Drosophila melanogaster: one gene and its partner. The protein of the gene in region 1 interacts with the protein of each later gene in a pairwise test. Each region holds a gene or a part of one and is shown on either strand. Other genes may lie near its edges.

What was found.
Region 2: the proteins of CG32086 (region 1) and hoe1 interact in a two-hybrid assay, tested with the Drosophila melanogaster proteins (one large-scale study listed by BioGRID).

The regions. Positions count from the first base shown.
Region 1 is NT_037436.4:11,581,878-11,586,085, forward strand, and holds CG32086 (uncharacterized protein), read right to left. Parts: upstream 2,188-4,208; 5' UTR 2,157-2,187; coding exon 1,633-2,156; intron 1,568-1,632; coding exon 1,391-1,567; intron 1,340-1,390; coding exon 565-1,339; 3' UTR 524-564; downstream 1-523. Other genes in the region: CG33269 (uncharacterized protein), read right to left, coding at 1-239; rt (rotated abdomen), read right to left, coding at 2,414-3,135, 3,195-3,974, 4,066-4,208.
Region 2 is NT_033779.5:4,929,382-4,934,406, reverse strand, and holds the start of hoe1 (hoepel1), read left to right. Parts: upstream 1-2,022; 5' UTR 2,023-2,314; coding exon 2,315-2,493; intron 2,494-5,025. Other genes in the region: hoe2 (hoepel2), read left to right, coding at 1-11, 69-395, 448-1,122.

The DNA.
Region 1 (4,208 bases):
ATGGTCTTGTGGCACCTCTTTGGGTTCTTGCACTTCCGCTTGGGAATGCGGGTGTGGCACCAGTTGTTGCCCCTCCAACAAAGCTTTTTGTGAGTGGAAGCGGCCGTTGTTGTTGTTGTGGTCGATGCTGCAGTGGTGGTTGTTGTTGTGGTGGTGGCATCAGTTGTTGTTGTATTACTAGAAGATGAAGCCACCTGGATGGCCAGGGCAATAAGGGCAACCACGAACAGGTATTTCATCTTTGATGTTATTGTTGGTTATGTTGGTTAGCTGGCAAAGCAATTGATATTAGACTTGGCTTAAAAGCGGCGAAGGGCTGTTGTGATCAACTGATGTTGAAGTCACCCCATTTATAGTTCTCCAGTAATTTCCGGATTTAGAAAACTAGTATTAATTTGATTTCCTAACTGATCACAGAAATTTAAATATTTGGTCGTAAGACACCAGCTTTGAAAGTTTAATGCTGTAGCAAATATTTGCTTCACACAAATGACAGCCCAAACTTATGCTATAGTTTATTTTTGTTTATTATATATTTGTTTGTCATGGTAAATTGTCTAAGTATTATGTAGATATGGCCTCTATTTTGTTGTGCATTTCAGTACGAAACTGCGTGACGGATGCCATTTCATTTTGGTCCTTGAACTTAGTCATTAGACTCTGCCAAATAGCTTCGAATTTATCAGTTGTTACGAGACTTCTAAAGATACGTTCGATTTCCGCTTTGGGCCGCAAACAGGTGAAATCACTGTGAGTAAGGCCACGTAAAATGGCCAAATCCGGTGTTATAAGATCCTTGGCAGTTGTTTTATTCCCTTCGAGATTCTGGCTAATTGCTCCCGTATTATCCTTTGACTTGTTTTGAAGATCGGCGCAGAGCAAACGATATGTGGTGTCCAGACAACTAACATCGGATACATTGGTCAAGTTTCCCGTTTTCGGCAGAGAATTCTGAATCGAGAGAAGTCGAAAGAAATCTACATAATTCACCCGCTCCGTGGCACAGCCCTCGTCCACAATCAGCCGAAAATTGGACAAGGCCAGACGGATTTTTTGCGCATCCAGACGGATGTGAAAACTTCTGAAAATTTCCAAGATGCGTGCCAGTGGCAAGTGACCCGTTCCATCCGTGTCACTCCTCTCCAGCACTGAATTTAGTGCGTACTTGTGAAATTCCAGCTGGTTCCTCAAACTATGACGTTTTTTGTTCAAATAGCGTATGGCATCTAGTAGCCGGTTGGTTTTGTAGCAGGGTTCAATATTATTTAGCAGCATCTTCACATCGCCATTGCTGCGCAGAGGAACACCGAAAGTTATGTCGGGCACCGCAAAAGTGTACCTACAGACAGTCTAAAACTATTAATCAAAATCTATATCTATCTATACTTACTTTTTGTTTCGCATTCCGAGGGGTGCCTCGTTTCGATCCATAAAGTCCACTTGCGCCTTGCCAATAACCTTCAGGTGGTTCTCACCTTCCTCCAGACATCGCTTCACTTTCAGTCCAAAATCGCCGTGAGTATGTATATCTCCACAAGGTGATTTTCGATCAAATGGTTGGGCATATCTAAAAAATATTTAAGACGTTCATTAAATATGCACCATTGCATTTGTAGTGACCAATAGCTTGACCTGCGGTTAACCTGCTCCGAAGGAAAGTAGTGATTGTGGCTGATGATGTACTTGTCGTGGAAAGCCTCGTACTCCTTATTAACTTGCTCCGCCGACTTGGCCGGCAATATGACGTCGTAGAGACATTCATTTTGTGATTGACTCGATGGACTTCCGAAGGTTTGGCTTATATTGGTCACGTCTTCCGGTTTGGAGTACGTTTTCTTGACCCCACCCAAAGTGGCCTTTTTGAAGTACATTTCCTCGTAGAACTTCTCCTTGAAGGACATAAAGCGCGACTTTTGCAACTCGCTGGTGAGCAAATCCCGGATGCTGCTGCTGGGTTGAACGGAACCGGCTGGGAACTTCTGGGATTTTTTATTGATCTGCCCGTAATTGCGCCTAACTAGACTCTCAGCCAATTCTTCTGGATTGCTAATACTAAGACAAACTTTTACACCTTCCGCTCCATCTAATCCACTGGTGGACAATCCTGCAGTCGGTATATTTGCATTTCTGTCTATAAAGTGTCCCTTATTGGCCATGTTTATGAGTGTATTTATGTATATAGTGTGGGTTCAAGTGTTTTCAGAGTGCTTATACATATTACTGAGTGATAAAGCAGAACATCTTAAATAAATAAATAATTGTATTTATTGGTCTTGTAAATGAGTATGTTTACATGTCAAATAATTTATGGCTTAGTATTAGTTCAACTTTAGCTAGTCGTCTAGTCTATTGTACATGGTACTAGTACATCATTGCACGTCTCTCTCTGGCCGCGGAGATGGCATCTGTTTTTTCAGTACAGGTGGTGGTTCTTGTGCAGGACAAAGTCCCAGGTATCCTTCCATCGAAGACTGCGAACCTCATTTAAAGTCATTTTTCTCGCACCATAACTGAATGGTATAAACTTTGAGAAAATGCTAAGCACGCCCACCAGCCACAGGATTAGCATGAGGCGATAAAGGCGCACCAGATGGACACCACGTCCGGTGCAGAAGCGCCTGAGCAGATAGTCCAAATGCTCCACGACAAAGCACAATAAAAGTAACTTAAACACAAAGGCTGGCAAGTAATTGTGCAGGAAGAGTGTACGATCCACACAAAAATACGGAATATAGTGCATCACGTAGCCCATAAAAAAGGTGTCACCAGCTAATACGAATCGCTGCCACTCTTGCTCCGAAATATCAAAGCAAAGACGTTGCCGCCGCATCGCGTAGAAGGCGAGTAATCCGGCATAGACAAGTATTCCCATGGTGGCTGTGTACCAGAGTAGTATGTTTCCCAGCAAATAGATCTGCGCACTCGACTGTGAGTCCAACCAATAAGCGATGCCCTTGTCCATTAGCGGCCACTCGTGCGGCATCGAGCTGTACATGTGATTTGGCACTGACTTCGTTTGGAACAGCATCTTGGATTGTAGCTCCAGTAGCTTGGCCCAGAACGAGATGCGCGTCCGCTTTGTGGGTATCATCTCGGCAGTTAGCATCTGGCGCTCTCGCTCCCGATGATCCTCAGCTATAAAGGGTTGTAAATGAGGATAACGTATTTCTTCAAGTATCTCGAAGAGGACTTACTCTGTGTATAGCGGTGCTCCTCAACATTCCAAATGGCATCCTCATGTATTGCCTTTTCACGATCCGCCACCACCTCGTGCTGATTGAAACCCCATTCGGGAAGTTGGCGCCCACTGAACTTCAAGGAGGCTTCTGTGGACACGTGAACGAGGCGGACCTCCGACTTGATGGCATGCCAAATGTCACCTTCGGAATCGCGATTCAGAATCTCCACGCGCCACAACAGTTCACCGGCCATTTTGATCTCGTAATCTATGTAGCAGCTGACTTCTTGGCACTGCGGCGTCATTGCCGCAGCCACATCGTGTGAGTTCAGAGCTCGGCTCGTAATTCCATGGACCAACTGAATAATTTCACCGTGCCGAATGATATCCGGCTCATCACCCACCACCAGGTTCTCCTTTGTTGGTCGCTTAACCAGCCACCAGTTGTTCACATCCTTGAAGGAGTAGCAGGTGACCTGCTGCTGGTGGGAGGAGCCTCTCTTGTCCGGATACCGCACCGGATAGACAGCTGCATGCGAGTGCAGCCAACAGGTGCGTCCGTGGGTGTGTCGTAGTGTGATTTGGGATCCATGAACCACTGCCAATGGCTGTCCTTTTGTGATCGATGCCAATCCTCCATCTAACGAGGCCTGAAACGCGCTAGTCATGATGCTATCATGCGGTCCAGCCCGGTGCAGCGTCTTGAAGTGGATATAGAAGACTCCCAAGTAGACCGCCAATGGAATTCCAACAAAGATTAACAGGCGACTTATGGCATGCATCCATAGCTGGCGATCTTGAAAAAAATGGTTTTATTTTGATTTATTCAATCTCTATTATTATATCGTAAATCGTATTTGTAAATCTCAGAAAAAAAGGTATCTTACCGGTGAGACCGGCGTCGTAGAGCAGTTGCCACAGGTGTCGACACAGCAAATAAAAGGCTAGCCCCAGTGCCAAGAATCCGACGTACTTGACGGTTCCGGCGGCTCCCAAACAGACGGCAGCTGCCGTTCCAGTAAAGAACCAT
Region 2 (5,025 bases), on another chromosome or scaffold:
TTGTGGATAATGTGGGTATAACATATAGGTTATGCAAGCTGTTATATAGATTTCCCCTACCTTTTCAGGATGTAACTTTTCCCACATTTGTGGCCCACACATTTCCAGGTGTCATTCTAGCAGTTATTCAAAGTTGTGTGTACCTGCGCCTCTTCTATCACAATATCGATGCACTGCGTCTCAATGAGCCCAAGGAGATGAGTGAGCTGCGTAGGGAGATGAAGGTGTGGCAGAGAGCCTTGAATGCAGTGGCCTCCTGTTCCAAGGATGCCCAGCTGGTGAGGGGAACGCTCCAGGCTAAGATTAAGCAACTGAAAAGGACCCTTAGAAGATTGCAAAAAGGTGTGGGCTCCACGGAGGTCTATACGAATACGCTGGACGAGCTCAAGCAGAAAGTAAGTGGATTTACTGAACTGGGATCTTTATAGCTGAGCAATCCATTTCCAGTACCCCATCAAAAACAAGACGCTGCTTTTGCAATCCGCTGGAGCCCTACTCTTCGTCATTGTTTGCTTCTTCATCCAATCCGTGCCGCACTGGAGGACATTACCCCTGGGTTGGGTGGCCCTGCTGGGTGTGATCCTGCTGCTGATCATCCTCAATCGCGATGACATGGAGCACTTGATGCACCGCATCGAGTGGACCACGCTGCTCTTCTTCGCCGCCATGTTCGTGATGATGGAATGCGTGGAGAGATTGGGAATCTTCGCCTGCATCAGTGAGCTCACCGAGCACGTTATCCTTTCGGTGGGAAAGAGTCATCGTCTGGCCATGGCCATCTTTATGATATTATGGATGTCGGCGCTGGCATCATCCATATTGGATAGTATTCCGGTGGCAGCCATAATGGTGAAGCTGGTGACCTCTCTGGTGGCCAAGCCATCGCTGGGACTGCCCCTCCAGCCACTGGTTTGGGCTCTGACCCTGGGCGCTTCGATGGGCGGAAATGGAACGCTCTATGGCGCATCAGCCAATGTCATTGCAGCCGGAATTGCCGAGCAACATGGCTATAAGTTGTCCTTCACCCGATATCTGAGAACAGTTTTTCCCATGATGCTGGGACAGATCACCCTGATGACTGTCTATCTACTGGTGGCGCATGTGGTCTTTGAATGGCATTGAGACTCCCTATTTAATACACATACTGAATAACATATTATTGTATCTAATGATGGAAAATGTTTTTCACTTCGAATCTAATCGTGTGTTTTTTTGTGTGAGTTTTACTGTAGTCTTTGTCCTTTTACATTCGCCTCTTGATGTGTTTCATGTGTTTTTGGCATATAAAATAAGAATATTTATATTTAAGCGTTCATTTGTGATTGGCAAATGTATAAAAATATACCATAAATATAAAAGTACACATGGTTTTTCGTTCGCCTTCGTGGAATTTGGCTGGACTGATGGAAATCACTTTTGGTAGTCCATCAAGGCGGTGTTTTTAATGTCGTGTGAAATGTTATAAATTTAGACTTTATTGTCTAAGGTCGAAGTGGGGAAATCGTGAAAATTCAACAGGCCATAAATACAAAACGAAGGAAAATTATAGATTTGATTTTCAAATTTCAATAAGAGGCAGTTCTACAAGTATTTAGATACATTTAAAATTCGAAGCGATGTCTGTATTTTAGAGATTTCAAAGCACAATATAAACATATAATAAGTTAAATTATAAATATCATAATTCTCGTGTTTTCTAGTTTATCCCATATGCACCTTGGTTTGGAAAACATAAACAAACGTAAATAATTCCTGAGACTGACCATTGCCAAGTTCAATGTTGACCAGAATATCCGCATATGAAAGTGCTTGCATGTACATATACATATATATTAAAAGCGAGTATATAGCATATAGTATATGGAAAGAAGACAACTGCTGGTCAATAAATGAGAATAAGACAATGTGGAAAAGCAGCGAGGGATTTCCTCGGGTGGTTGTTGCTATTTATTTGCTCTGCTACTGCTGCGCTTTCCACACTTTCCACAGCGCTCGTTCCATAGGTAAATTGTATTTTAAGTTCACAAACAAATGGCCACGAGGGATTGCGAATGGAGGAGGTGAAACGGAGGACCCGACCTGTCCGCCATGTGGAGAGGAGACTGCCAGCAGTTTTATGGCAGCCGCGAGAGGGAAAGTCGTGCCGACAACGACTGACTGAATTTTAATTAATTTGCGCCAAGGAATAAAGTGAAAATTGGAAATTGGCTTATTTGGCCCAGACTGGCCGCCCTGCAGGCCAAATAAAAATGTGATAAGCGTACGAAATTACGCCGAAATCGAGTTGGTTTTTTTTTTTGTAAGGTGAACCAAGATGACATCTCCCTATGGATACAGTAAGCCCACCTTTATGATAACGGACCACACTCGCGATCCGTATCATCTGCAGCCGGGTGATGACGACGACGATCGGGATGAGGATGAGGAGCGTCAGACGAAGCTGCAGGAGATCATCAGTTGGCTGCACTTGAATGCCAAGCATCGCAGCAAATGGTAAGTCGGCCGCATCAAGTATACGCCGCGGGTGGCCCATGCAAGTCAGCTTATATTGATATTAAGTATACGCCCGGTTGGCCACCGCCACTCGAAGTTTGAGTTGTTTATTTGCCCGGTTCCGTTTTCTCATTAGCCTGGCATTAAATTGTGCTGCAGGAGATGATGGACCCAAAACTTTTCCTTTTAATGTCCTGCTAAGCTTCTTAATAACGGTCCATTGGTTGCGACTTGTTTGTTTTCCGAGATGAAATCAACTCGAGGACATTTTGTGGATTTTAAGCCGCTGAGAGCCGCAACAGATGGTTTCCATTGAGATTGATTACAATTTATTTGTTTTTTAGTTGAAGCAGACACAGCAGTTTGTATATTTCATACTCCATATGCGTTGGAATTCCAGCAGAGTAATAAATGCGCTTTTCTTCGAAACTCTGATTGAAATGATACTCCTAATCCGAATTAATCATGTTTTTGTTTTGTTAGGGATTTTTTCCATTAGCTTGTGGTTATAACAAAATGCCAGGCACGAAGGTATTGTTGTATGCAATTTGTGTGAATAATTCGAAGAATAGTTGGCATATACCCATTTCCAATCCAAGCCAATCTTTTGTTCGAGCAATTCGCTTCTGGGAACTACCATTCGATATAGGTTGCTTATAATCGATAATGTAATACCTTGGACACGTGCAAAATAAACTGAAGTACGCAGTGCAATGTGGAGATTATAAATAAACAATGGGGAATAAATATTGACTTGCGTTGCATTATATTATTTTATTTATAGTTCTCTATTTCCGTTGGCAAATACGTGGTTCAGCAGCCTCCGCAGCTGTTTGTAGGTTTTTTTGTATTAAGTTAAGCATTCGAATTAAGTGTCGTATTCAAATTAGTGCACTCACTCCCACACAAAAATTATCGGTGTAGTGAAAACCTAGGGTAATGCGAATTACATACGCAGTTGGTCCTCAATTAAAAGTTCCGCCTTGTTAATTAACAATTAAAGGGAAAACTCGAGACGGTAAATCACTGAGTTCTCTGGTTTATAGCGCAGTTACACTTGGTTGCAATAGAGAAGGCTGCTCATAAATATACAGGGTGTGTGGAGTCGACTTACATACTTGGGAGCATTATAAAGCATTCATAAACAACGAATAATAAACAACAAAATATGTACAATAAGCAACAGAATTTCATACAGAAAATGATATATTTATATAAACTTAACGATTTTTCTTATAACTAGTTTCCGGGACACCCTGTTTCCATTTGACATATTCTTGACAATCAAACCTGAAGTGAGCTTAGCTTATTATATAAGCGCTCGTTATTTACATAATTATTGTTTATTTACTCACGCTGAGCATTTGTTGTATACATCTACGTCTTGACCATGTGTAGAATCCACTAAGTACTGTATGCATATTGGTTGCAATTAATTTGCATTTTTGCATTGGCTGATACCAAGTAATTACAGCTAACACATCGATAATTGCCGTTGGCCAATTGGCAAAGTTTATGGATACTAAAGAAAAGAGGGAAGGGTTAAATACAGTTGGGATTATGGGCTATAAGTTATTCGCACTGACAGCTAAACACTTTGATGTGGCTGCCCATTTTTACGCTGACTTTCTGACAAGCAAATGAAAAGTCATTCAGTAGTTTCAAGTCCACCCAGAACCACGTGATCCCTCCACGGAACATGCAACCCAAGTTTGGTGGTCCCACGATGACATACATATATGTATGTAGAGATATGTGTGGAAACTTGTCAATGGTTTGTTGGGTGGGTAGCTTGGTGGCATGAAGGAGGTGCGAATAACTATCCCTGTACATGAGGGTTTTCCGCTCACAATTTTCCAACAAACTGTAAATACACTTTTTCTGGTTGCCAAGGGATGAGCTTAGGGGCTGTAAAAGTTCCGGCTTGAATTTGGAATGTACTATGTGTCTCTATGGGGGCCAACCTTTGAGGCACAATTGAGTGGAAATGAATTATGTATTAGTTGTTATTATGAAATGGAATGTACTCAATAGCTTGGCTTATGTGGTATTACAGTTTTCAACCAACTATATTAATGTATTAAGAACGGAAATGTTAAGAGAAAGTAACTGCTGATAGCATTTAACCCATATAACTCCGAATCAACTGCACCCATGCCCCATATTATTCAGATGGATAAGCCGCAGAGACCTTGGGCGAAGATACAATTGTTATTGGAAGAAACACACCTATTGCGTCTCACTGTGGATATCATCAGCGTTATTATTACTATTATTGCCATCGTCTTATTGAATGTGGGTGAGGAAAATTGCGGAATAAAAGAGCATTAATATTCCAGCTTTAAAGTCGCTCAAATGTCAAACGGCTCGTGGCGAGAAATAATATATATATACACGAGTTCACTTTGAGTTCCTTGGAGTGTGTTTGCGTTTCATTGTCCGTGGCATTAGGGTTTTTGGGATTCGGATTGGGTCTCGCATTTGGATTGAGTTGGGGCACAGCAGAAGCTGTTTGCTGATAAACTCGCCTTT